3 linked regions of the Sus scrofa genome follow. The protein of the gene in region 3 interacts with the protein of the main gene of each other region in a pairwise test. Links are inferred from orthologs where the notes say so. Each region holds a gene or a part of one and is shown on either strand. Other genes may lie near its edges.

Region 1 (3,743 bases), on a different chromosome or scaffold from region 3:
GGATGAAGTTCCTCAGCATCTCCATGGATGTGGTCTGTACGTAGCCATAGTCCTGCGGGCAGAGGAAGGACATTTTTTGGGTGGTCAGTGGGGCGAAGGGGTGAAAATGAGTGGACTTGGTCTCCCAACCACGGGATGTATCTTCAGAGAATAGGGGACAGGGAAGGACGTTCTCAGACCTCACCAGCACTTCATCCAGGAGTTCGTAGACCAGAGCCACGTTGCGGGAGATGGTCCCCTCGCCCAGGGAGCCACAGTAATCTCCCAGGAGAGTGGCTAGCCTGCAGAAACACAATGGAGTGTGCATATCGGCCTCCTCTCCCACCCCCACGCCCATGTGCCCAGCCCTGTCCTCCTCACCGGGAGAGCAGCTCTAGGAGGCTGAAGGGAGAAATGTTCTCTGAAGTCGTGGCCACCAAATAGAGGCCGTTGTGTCTGATGTGAATAAAATGACGGTCATCGTGGTGCTGAGGTAGAGGCAGGGGGAAAAGCATTAGGAAACGAGAGTTGTAATGATTCCTGGCCTGTGAGACAGGCTAGTATCCGGATTCCCCTACTTACTAGCAACGTGATTTGGGGCCACATATGAAACCTCCCTAGAGCCCAGCTTCCTATTGTGTAAATGGTATTAATAACAGTACCAACTAACTGAGTAGCTGAGGACAGAGATGTGTAAGGAACTGTGCCTGGAACACGGTTGCTGCTCAATAAACTGCCATTAACATTTGGACTACTGCACTTCCCAAGTAGAAGCTCTCAGGGAAAGAGCCCTGGGAAGATCCCCGCACTGCCCTCCCCACCCCAGCCCCCGCCGCCTCGGAGCGCTGAGCGCATCCCTTCCACCACCACCCCCCACCCCCGCCAGTGGTTACCATGACAACAGGAGACTCGTCTCCGGGCAGTCCCGTCAGCTTCCGGTAGAAGAGCTCTGCCACATCCCGGCCGCCGCTGTCTCCGCGGACTGACGGGATAGAAGAACAGCTAAGGAGCCAGCGACACTGGCTAGCTCGGAGGCACCAGTCCCACCCAGCCCCAACCCCGCCCCGCAAGCCAAGGATACAGTCCTTGTAGATGAGCGGGTCCCCCTTGGAGGACAGAATGAAGAACTGGGAAATCATGGCCGTTCTGGAGGGTAGACCAGGAGGCAGCGAAAAGTTGGGCCTGCCCCGCCCTGCGGCCCCGGAACAAAAGGACGGGAATGGGCTGGCCCTTTAAGAGGGCTTCTCCTCCGACCGCGGGAAACCTGGCGCCTGCCCCGCCTCGCTCAGCCTTTCCCTCTCAGTACCCGCGCCATTTCCCCGTCAGTCACCCCAGGTTCTCCCGGTGATTGGTTGACGCTGGGGCCTGTGGCGAGTGGGCGGGGCGGAGGACCTCCTCTCTGATTGGCCCGCACACAGCGGCGCTGGTCACATGGGGGGCGACGTTTCGCGCCAATTTCGGTTGGTCGGCTGCGGACCACGGCGCAGACGGTTTTTGCTGCCCAGGCAGTGAGAGGTCTGAGCCCGCCAACTGCTGCCGCGCAGCCCTGGGCAGCAATGGCACTTAAGGACTACGCTCTCGAGAAAGGTGAGGGTCTGCAAGCGTGGGAGGGGCGTCCTGCGCGGAAAGGTTCCTGACCAACACCTGTTGGTGGTGGGTTGGGTTCCTGAGGGGCCTGGCCCGGAGCGCAAGGTCAACGGTAGGGTCGGGAAGCGTCGGGGCTGAGGCCTACGGTAACTGGGAGGCGTACGAGGCGCCAGGGTCGGGGAAGAGCTGGTAACCGGGTCCGGGAAAGGAGTGGGTATCGTGGGGTGGGGGGCGGACACCCCGGCTGGAGGCTCCAGAAGGAACGGTCGCGCCTTAGACCAAGGCTTCCAGGGGCCGTAAGGTTCAGGGTCTGGCACCCGCGGGCCCGCTTCCTTCCACGGTCTTAGGCACTCAAGAGTAGCCGCGTCCTCCCGCGACGCGCCGAAGCCCCGGGGGCGGGCAGGCCTGAGCCGCTGCGCGCCGGGATTGGTCGCGTCAGGCTAACCTCCAAGCGGAAGTGAAGGCGAGCGGAAGTTGCGCGACACCGCTGGAGGGTGTCGTGTGTAAACAGTGTCCTTCCGCGCGGTGGCCGCGGAGAGAACTACTGAGGATGGGGGCGTGCCTGGGATGGGGGAGTTTAGAGGAAGACCGAGGGAAGAAGTGGTGGGGTGGGACGGAGTGGCCCTCGAGGAGCTGGCCAATCGCTGGACGGTCTCCCGCCCTGAGCGGAGGAATCCCGGGCTGTGAGGCGGCGGCATCATCTGGGCCCATGTGCTTCTTTGTTTACTAAGAGCGGAAGCAGTGGCGGGAGAGGGGGTGGGGCGGAGGACGGGCCTGGTGGCGGAGGTCCCGGTGAGAGCGGCGATTTAGGAGACAGAAAGAAAAGGGGAAGCGTTCGCGCGGAAGAAAAGCTGAGAGTCTTGAGATCTGGGTGTGTTGCCAGGTGTGGGAGGCCCTTGGAAAAGGGTTCCGAGATTTCTAACTAAGGCTGAGAGTGGAATTCCCTTGGGGGGTGGGTGTTGGGTAATATTCGCAACTGCCAGGGGTCCCTCTGCTCCCCCAGATAAAAACGGACTTGGAAAAGGAGTTTGTAGGTTTGTTTAAATAAATCTTCATTTATCTAATTAGTTCAGAGATCTCATTTTAAGTGAAAGTGAATCAGAGGAGTTTGGAGTAAGGTATCTGAAGAAAGATTGATCGTCACGATTTTACACTTTCCTTGTAGAAAAAGTGAAGAAGTTTCTACAGGAGTTTTACCAAGATGACGAACTTGGCAAGAAGCAGTTCAAGTATGGGAACCAGTTGGTAAGTCTAAGGTTAGGTAGAAGAAATGGGATGGTGGCTTAAGGAGCTACTAAGAAGTGGCCTGACTTGTTTTAGCAAGGCTGTTTTTCTCTTTAAGTGACAAGTTTAGCATCATACCTGTTAACAGTACTATATTCACAATAATTAAGGTATTTTTAGGAGTTAACTGAGAGGTGAGTATTTTTTCTGTCTCACAGTGCTCTTTCTGTCCTTTGGAGGCTTGGTAACTTGTGTGTTGAGCCACAGTGATGGGTTCTTGCCTGTGAACTTGGCTCTGTTGCCGTCTCCCCCCACCCCCAGGTTCGATTGGCTCATCGGGAGCAAGTGGCAATGTACATAGACCTAGACGACGTCACTGAGGATGATCCTGAGTTGGTGGACTCCATTTGTGAGAACACCAAGCGCTATGCCAGGCTCTTCGCTGATGCTGTGCAAGAGCTGCTGCCTCAGTACAAGGAGAGGGAGGTGAGGAAAATGCAGGGCAAGAAACTTAGGTTTCTGTTGAGAAGCTACTCGGGTATTTTCTTCTATTGCTGTTGTTAGGCCCTGACACAGCATGTGGAAGTTCCCATGCCAGGCATCCAACCTGAGCCACAGCAGCAGCAACGCTGAATCCTTAACCCATTGTGCCACAAGAGAACTCAGGTATTTTCTGAGCTGGCAAAAAGGGTGGTGATTGCTGCCTGGAGCCTTTTATGCTGTCTCCTTTCCCTATCTTACCACTTAGTTTTCTTATTTTCCTATCCTTTCAGGTGGTAAATAAAGATGTCCTGGATGTTTACATTGAGCACCGGCTGATGATGGAGCAGCGCAGCCGGGACCCAGGGGCAGCCCGGAGTCCCCAAAACCAGTACCCTCCTGAACTGATGCGCAGATTGTGAGTGGGCTCAGGGGGAAGTATGTGGGGGTTTGATCCCCAGCACCTTGCTCAT
Region 2 (3,743 bases), on a different chromosome or scaffold from region 3:
GGTACAGCGGAAACAAATCCAACTAGGAACCATGAGGTTGTGGGTTCGAGCCCTGGCCTCCCTCAGTGGGTTAAGGATCCAGCGTTGCCGTGAGCTGTGTTGTAGGTTGCAGACGTGGCTCGGATCCCAAGTTGCTGTGGCTGTGGTGTAGGCCAGTGGCTATGGCTCCGATTAGATCCCTAGCCTGGGATCCTCCATATGCCGCAGGTACGGTCTGAAAAAAGGACAAAAAGACAAAAAAAAAAAAAGATTTTGTAAGACAGATCTAGTCTATTGTAAATTGTAAACATGATAGACCCAGGCAATAAACTCCAGCAGACTCACCCCCGCCCCCAGAGTCCTCCTCTGATCCCCAGCTGCTCCTTGGCGGGCGTCCGCCTCTGTTTTCCATCCCAGCCTCTTCACCCAGAATCCTGTGCCCCAACCTGCACACCCCCAGACCCTGTTCTTCCTCCCCACCTGGAGGTTCCCCAAAGGTACCTGACCGGAGCCAAATTAGAGCAACCTCTGTTGGTCTAGAGGGCAGGGCCTTCCCCTCCATGGCACTTGGGTACCTCCTGAGGACACCCCACGACCAGCTCTGCTCCCACTGGACCGGAGCACAGCTAGCGCTCCCCAACCATTTGCCCCTGGCAGGGCCTCTCCTGGCTTCCGAGAGGGGTCAGCGTCCTGATTGTCCTGCCCCAGCCTGGGCTCCTGGCCCATGAGATGACCAACAATAATAGCCACTGGATTAACATAGCAGGCATTGTCTTCCTCTGAGCACAGGGTGGGTATTAGGTGTTCACCCACTGTCCTAAAAATAGCCAGAAGACAGGTGCACCAGCCCCTGGGCGCCGCTGGCCTGTGGCTGGACACAGAGGATGGGACGGGGCGGGGGAGGGGAAGTTAGTCTTGCCAGGTTCCTGGCACAGGGCTGGGTGTCGCTGGAACCCCCGAAACCCACCGGGAGAGGGCGCTGAGCATCTGTGGACCCTCAGATGCCACGGGCTTGAAGGGCAGCTCAGCCCCAGTACCCTCCCTGGACCCCGCGTGACACTCTTTATGTCACCACTCAGGTCCAGGCATCGTCTGGGCTCAAGAGGTCCAGAGCCTCAGAAGATGCCTGCACAGCAAGACTGCCTACTTGGAGCGTAGACTGAGGGGTCGGGTCCAGATGCTTCCTTGTGAGAGAAGGAGGGTGAGGGAGATGGCCCCCCTCCACCAGCCCTGCTGTCCCTGGGCCTCCGGGTGCCCCAGCCCCACCCCTGCTCAGAGCCCCGTCTGATCTGCTTATCTGTCCCCCCCATTCCCAGGGCTCCAGTCTCCTGGAGGGTGGCCACTGTGTGCCCAGGCTCTGTGCGTCCTTCTGAGCCTGGTACATGCATGTGTGTCTTCAAGCCTGTTGGCCGCTCTGTGTGCTGCCCTGTCCCCTCCATGAGGTGTGTGTGTGGTGGGCAGGGGCGGGGGAGGGGCGGCGGGTCTGTTCTATTTTTACCAGCCAGTTGCCGAGGGCTGGAGTTTTCAAAGCCTCCCCACCACTCTGCCCCCCACAGTCTGCAGTCCACAGCGAGCCGAGGCCAGCCTGACCCACAGAGACTGAGCACGGTGAGTGTCCGCAGCCTGGGCAGATGAGCTGGGCTCTAGGTTCAGGATGGAGCAGGGCTTGGACGTGGAAGACGAGGGCTCTTGCCTGTGCGATTGGGTTTGGGGCGAGCAGTCCTAAGACAGCCCTGCATCATTTTGTGCTGCAGGACAGCATCCCCTGTAAAGGTGGCTGGAGGGGAACCCCCCGCCCCAAACCCATTTAAAAGCTGGAGCCCAGAGGGGGCTTTTCCACCTGCTGCCCCAGGAACCCCAGGGTGGAGCCAGGGGACTGTTTCTACCCTGGCCACCCAGCTGGTCCCAGGAGGGAGAGGAGTGCCCTGGGGACCAGAGGGGGCAGAGGGGTTACAGCTGCACGTTGAGGGGAGCCTGGTGAGCAGGGCGGGGAGTGACCCCTGGGGTGGAGGAGAAGGAAAGAGGTAGGGGCAGGCCTGGGGGGCTGGAAGGCTGCACCCTACCACCCCCCGCGGACATCGTCCTGCCTCTTTGTTCTTTGTTTCCGAGGGACTCACTTGGCGCCCTTGTAGACGACGGAGCTGGTGCGGGCAGAGCGCCAGCCCTGTGTCCGCCCCCCTGCGCCCCCCTGCACTCCTGGTCCCGGGGGAAGGTGGGGGCTCTGGGGGGAAGGTAGGAGGGCACAGCATCAGGGTTGGAGGCAAGCCCGGAACCCACAAGTGAGGTGGGGGCATGGGGGGGGGAGCTGGAGGCAGCCCTGCTACTGGCTGTGAGACTGTCCCCAGCACTTGGGGGGCCTGCTTATTCTGTGCTCAGGGTTAGGGGTGGACCCCTCAGCCTCAGCCTTGGGAGCACAAGCCTGTCAGACAGGGAGGACTCGGATGCCCTTGAAGTGGGGCCCAAGGTCGGGAATGGGAACAGGGGGAGGAAATTCGCTTGCCTGAGAGTCAGGTGTGCAAAGACAACAGGTCCTCTCCCTGCTCACACATGATCACATACACACACCCCCCACACTCACCCGAGCACACACTCACACCCATGGGCATACACACTCACACTCTCACACACACTCACTCGGGGCTTCGGGGGGGGCGCAATCCAGTGACCCCCCCCTCCACTGTGGTTCCCATTAGGTTATCACCTTCTGGCTGCTGGGGGCAGGGGGCGGGCGGCCCGCTGAGCTGCCTTCTCTGCAGTTGAGTTCTTATCTGGTTCCCCCTTGTCTTCCAGGGGATGTGTTGAGGGGCCTCGTCTGAGGGGGAGGGATCTGAGCATGGCTGGGACCCAGGCTAGCTGCATGGGCAGGGGGCTCTCCAAGGAGGCGTGGATGCAGCCCTTACCGAGGGCGAGCTCTGGGCCCCCAGGGGCCGGGCATGGCAGGGTTGATGATGGGACAGGGGCCTGGGGTGGGTCTTCCCAACTACCCTTCCTCTTTGGGCCTCCCCCACGTCTCCAGAGGGGAGCAGCCCTCGAATAAACAGCTGGCGATAAAATCTAATTCCAGCCAAGCATCTCGGGAATGTACGTGGCTTCCACCTCCCCACTGTGCCCCAGGGTGACAGCTGAGGCTCCGGGTCACGCTCCCTTTCCCTCCCCCCTCCCAGGCCTCACCCTTCCCTGGCCCAGGAGGGGGTGGTTTCTGATGGGAGGTTCGGGAGGGGCGGCCAAGGCCCACCCAGGCTTCCAGGGCACAGCGGGGAAGGGGAGAGATGAGGCAGGGGCAGGTGGCTCTGGCGGGAGGGGACTGTGGCCTCCCTGGTGAGTCCTGTGGAGTCTGCCCTCCCCCACTCCAGGCCAGGCTCTGGACCCAATCCAAGCTCCTGGGCCCTGCGCTCAGCCCCCACCCCATCCCCTCCCACTTCATGACCCAGCTCAGGGCTCCCAGCCTGCCTTGCACACCTGCCCCCCTCTCCTGCATGCCCCACGCCCGCTCCCCCATATCTTTGGCACAAGCCCCGCCCCCTTGGTCCAACTGGGGCCAGATGGGGGTCAGGCCTCACCCTCACAGCCCCAGGACCCTCTCTTGGTCTGGGTGCCAGCGTGTCTGGCTAAAAGGAGCCCCAGGATCACCAGTCAGGGGGCTTCCAACTGGAGGCAGAGGTCCTCACGGCAGACACGGGCCCGGGGGCTAAGTCCCTGCCACCAGGGCCGGGCTCTGCTGACTGGATCCAGTTTGAACAAAGGCTCAAGAGCCAAATATTAAG
Region 3 (3,743 bases):
ACAAGCCTCAGCTGTTTAAATATGTTTTTACCGGGGCTCAGTTTTCTCAGATGGTATTTATTACCAGTGGCAAGCCTAACTCCTTAGGTTTACAGGAAGTATGCATATTTTTATAAAACAATTGTATGTCCTCCCCATATTTTGCTGTATTAATATTTGCCTCTAACTAACAATTTGCAGCTGTTTCACCTTTTCCTCATTTGTCTCTTAGTCAAAGGCCTTGTTGGAGGGGACAGAGCACAGGAACAGCCTTGATAGTCTGTAATTATTGTACAAATATTTTAATAGCATATAAATAAGTATATTCCTTTTATTTTGAAAAAATCAGACACTGCCTTTTGTGTGTTTGCTGCCTGTGGCACCCTTTTTTAAAAGACTGTTACATATTAAAATAGTGTACATATATATAAATATTACCTCTTTTGCTGTACAGTTGTGATAGACCAGACGGAAGATTTTATTTTTTGTGTGCTTTTTATAAAAAAAAAAATTAACACACTAAAGAAAATCTTGCTGATGTGATTGTAATGTACCTATGTAACTTATTTACTTTTGAATGTTCTTCTGTATCTTTAAACCTTTTATTAAATAAGGTTTTAAAAATTCAGAGTTGATTTCTGTGTCCTTTGGGGGAAAGATTTATTATCTCACCATCTGGGATTGTAAGTGTGCCTTGGTTTGCTTCCAAAGGATACTTGACATTTTTGAACCATAAGGCCTGTTTTATCCATGATGCCAGGGCAGGGGAAATAACACATTAGTGTTTGCCGGGTTACTATTCATAGAGATCTAGATCTTTTTACAACATTTTAGACAAGAAGAAGTCTCAACTCACTGGGATAAAATTTAGAGGGTGCAGAGTGCAGTCAGGTGGTACAGGGTATTATACAGCATTGCCTCTGAACGAGCGACGCGAGTAGACAAGTCTTTCTTGACGGCCGGATATCATCTTAAATCCACTCCAGAATTATATTATCTTTTAAACACAGTGCTTTGTTAAGAAAAAAAAAAATCTGGAAAATGCGAAAAAGGAAATGCGCGGTAAAGGAAATTAACGCCCGCGGCCCCGAGCTGCCACCATGGCAACCATTCGCCCCTGCAGGCCGCTAGAGCTCCGGCGTCTCGCGTCGGTGGTTGCCGTGGCTACGGTCGCGCGGGCAGGGCCGCGGGGGGCGGGGCGAGGCGGGTCGAAGGCCGGCCCCGCCCTCCACTGCGGCAGTAAAGGCTAGGCTGGCTGCGGGTGGGACCGAGGTACAACTGTGCAGCTCCAGCCCACCTCGGCCCGCGGTCGCCTGCGTGCGGGGCTGCCGCGGCCTGCCTGCGACTGCGCCTGCGCCTCCTCTAGCCTGGCTTCCGCGTCTTTCCTGCGCCTCTGCTGCCTGTGTTCTTGGTCCTTGGCGTCCTCGCCGCCCAGAGGGATACGTTTGCCCACGAAGAAGCTCTCTCGGGTTGGCCTCGCTGCCGCCGCTGTCTTTCCCTTAGGACAGTCTTTCCCTCCGGGGGCGGTACTAGTTCTTGTCTGCGGAGAAGCGGCTCCTAGCTCGTCTGAGGCGTGCTCCGCTCTGGCAACGAAAGCTTGCACCCTCTGGGAGCAGCAGCGAGTGCCTGGCGCCCAGGCTGCGAAGAGGCGGCCACGTCCCGCGATCAAGCCCTGCGGCTCCTGCTTTCGCCGCCCGCCTTTTTTCCTCGCCTCTGCGCTCCGACGCGACACCTTCCTGTAAGTGGAGGACCCGGCCTGCGGATCCCGACCGGAGACACAAGATGGCGATGGCCATGTGACTGAGCATCCCCGAGGCTTCGTTCCGAGAACGCGGAGGCCTGGCTTTGAGGGGCAGCGAAAAGAGGAGAGCAGGACACTGGTGTCGTTTGTTAAACGTGATTGACTCCCTCGGGCATATGGGGGGAGGTGGCGGTGGGAGCGTCTGCTATTGTCTTCAGTTTTAGAGCACAGGGAGCCACAGTCTAATTGTATTTGTAGAATTGGGGCCCTTGATAGTTGGGAAAATGGCGATGACACTGCTGGAAGATTGGTGTAGGGGGATGGATGTGAACTCCCAGAGAGCCCTTCTGGTCTGGGGGATCCCTGTGAACTGTGATGAGACCGAAATCGAAGAGACCTTTCAAGCTGCGATGCCCCAGGTGCCCTATCGAGTGCTTGGGAGAATGTTCTGGAGGGAAGAGAATGCCAAAGCAGCCTTGTTAGAGCTCACTGGTGCTGTCGATTATGCTGCGATCCCCAGGGAGATGCCAGGTAAAGGAGGGGTCTGGAAAGTAGTCTTTAAGCCCCCCACTTCCGATGCTGAATTTTTAGAAAGGTTGCACCTCTTCCTAGCAAGAGAGGGGTGGACCGTGCAAGATGTTGCCCGTGTCCTTGGGTTTCAGAACCCCACTCCGGCCCCAGGCCCCGAAATGCCGGCAGAGATGCTAAACTATATTTTGGATAATGTTATTCAGCCTCTGGTTGAGTCCATATGGTACAAGAAGCTGACGTTGTTCTCGGGAAGGGACATTCCGGGGCCAGGGGAGGAGGCATTTGATCCCTGGCTGGAGCACACTAATGAGGTCATAGAGGAGTGGCAGGTGCCTGATGTAGAAAAGAGGCGGCGGTTGATGGAGAGCCTTAGAGGCCCTGCCGCTGATGTCATCCGCATCCTCAAGACCAACAACCCTGCGATTACCACCGCTGAATGCCTGAAGGCGCTGGAGCAGGTGTTTGGGAGCGTCGAGAGCTCTAGGGATGCGCAGGTGAGATTTCTGAACACATACCAGAACCCGGGAGAAAAATTATCTGCTTATGTGATTCGTCTGGAGCCTCTGCTGCAGAAGGTGGTTGAGAAGGGGGCCATAGATAAAGATAACGTGAACCAGGCCCGCCTGGAGCAGGTCATTGCCGGGGCCAATCACAGCGGAGCCATCCGAAGGCAGTTGTGGCTGACCGGGGCTGCTGAAGGGCCGGCCCCCAACCTCTTCCAGTTGCTGGTGCAGATCCGCGAGGAGGAGGCCAAGGAAGAGGAGGAGGAGGCTGAGGCCGCCCTCCTGCAGTTAGGCCTGGAGGGGCACTTCTGAGTCCCAGGAAAGGGGGCGTTAGTTCAGACCTAGATCACGGCTGCTTTCATTGTCTCTGTGATGTCTTACAGGTGTGTCTCCTGCTAGTAAAGACTAAGCGGTGTTTTTTGTTTTTGGGCGGGAGTCCGGCCTGGGTATTCATGTGTCATTAGCACAATCGTGCAGGGGAGCACCAGATCTGCTGCAGCGCTCGTGGGTCATGCTAGCTACAATGCCAGGGAAAGGCTTGGACGTGAGTCCTCATTGCAAGCTATCATCATGGCACCATCATCGGTTGTGAAAAATGTGGTCTCGTGACTCTTCCCATCAAGGTAATTAAATATGAAATTGCATGTTCAGATGTATAATGAGTGCAGGGCCTGGATACCAAAAGAACTGTTCAGTAAAAAATGTCAACTGTTTACTCTTAACTGTGGTGAATAGTTTTTGTGTCTACCGTAAATTGTTCCTGGTTTATATTAATGGAAAGAAATGTGAATAAGGTATTATTCAGCTTTACAGTGCAGATTTCTTACTGTACATCTTTAAAGATCTAGATCAGTTTAATTGAAAAGTGTTCTGAGACTACAAAATGGGGTGTTAGAACGATACTGCGCTTACAGGGCTGTGTAAATCAAGTTTTCACTGTGTAAGATGCAGATATAAAATGCATGGGGAGGTTAATAGGAACCAGTTAC

The links.
Region 1: the proteins of PNMA1 (region 3) and MCM7 interact in binary tests that used the Homo sapiens proteins (3 or more experiments, as listed by UniProt). The two-hybrid records come from large-scale screens. The link is inferred for Sus scrofa from reciprocal best matches to the Homo sapiens genes PNMA1 and MCM7.
Region 2: the proteins of PNMA1 (region 3) and TNNI1 interact in binary tests that used the Homo sapiens proteins (3 or more experiments, as listed by UniProt). The two-hybrid records come from large-scale screens. The link is inferred for Sus scrofa from reciprocal best matches to the Homo sapiens genes PNMA1 and TNNI1.

The regions. Positions count from the first base shown.
Region 1 is NC_010445.4:8,011,214-8,014,956, reverse strand, and holds the start of MCM7 (DNA replication licensing factor MCM7), read left to right. Parts: upstream 1-961; 5' UTR 962-1,060; coding exon of another isoform or gene 1,061-1,118; 5' UTR 1,119-1,535; coding exon 1,536-1,566; intron 1,567-2,077; exon of another isoform or gene 2,078-2,449; intron 2,450-2,731; coding exon 2,732-2,811; intron 2,812-3,111; coding exon 3,112-3,276; intron 3,277-3,563; coding exon 3,564-3,688; intron 3,689-3,743. Other genes in the region: AP4M1 (AP-4 complex subunit mu-1), read right to left, coding at 1-281, 361-467, 873-961, 1,061-1,118. UniProt on the Homo sapiens protein: Acts as a component of the MCM2-7 complex (MCM complex) which is the replicative helicase essential for 'once per cell cycle' DNA replication initiation and elongation in eukaryotic cells.
Region 2 is NC_010452.4:23,797,891-23,801,633, reverse strand, and holds the start of TNNI1 (troponin I, slow skeletal muscle), read left to right. Parts: upstream 1-1,079; 5' UTR 1,080-1,180; intron 1,181-1,295; 5' UTR 1,296-1,421; intron 1,422-1,525; exon of another isoform or gene 1,526-1,535; 5' UTR 1,536-1,587; intron 1,588-3,743. UniProt on the Homo sapiens protein: Troponin I is the inhibitory subunit of troponin, the thin filament regulatory complex which confers calcium-sensitivity to striated muscle actomyosin ATPase activity.
Region 3 is NC_010449.5:97,049,279-97,053,021, reverse strand, and holds the start of PNMA1 (paraneoplastic antigen Ma1), read left to right. Parts: upstream 1-1,164; 5' UTR 1,165-2,004; coding exon 2,005-3,066; 3' UTR 3,067-3,743.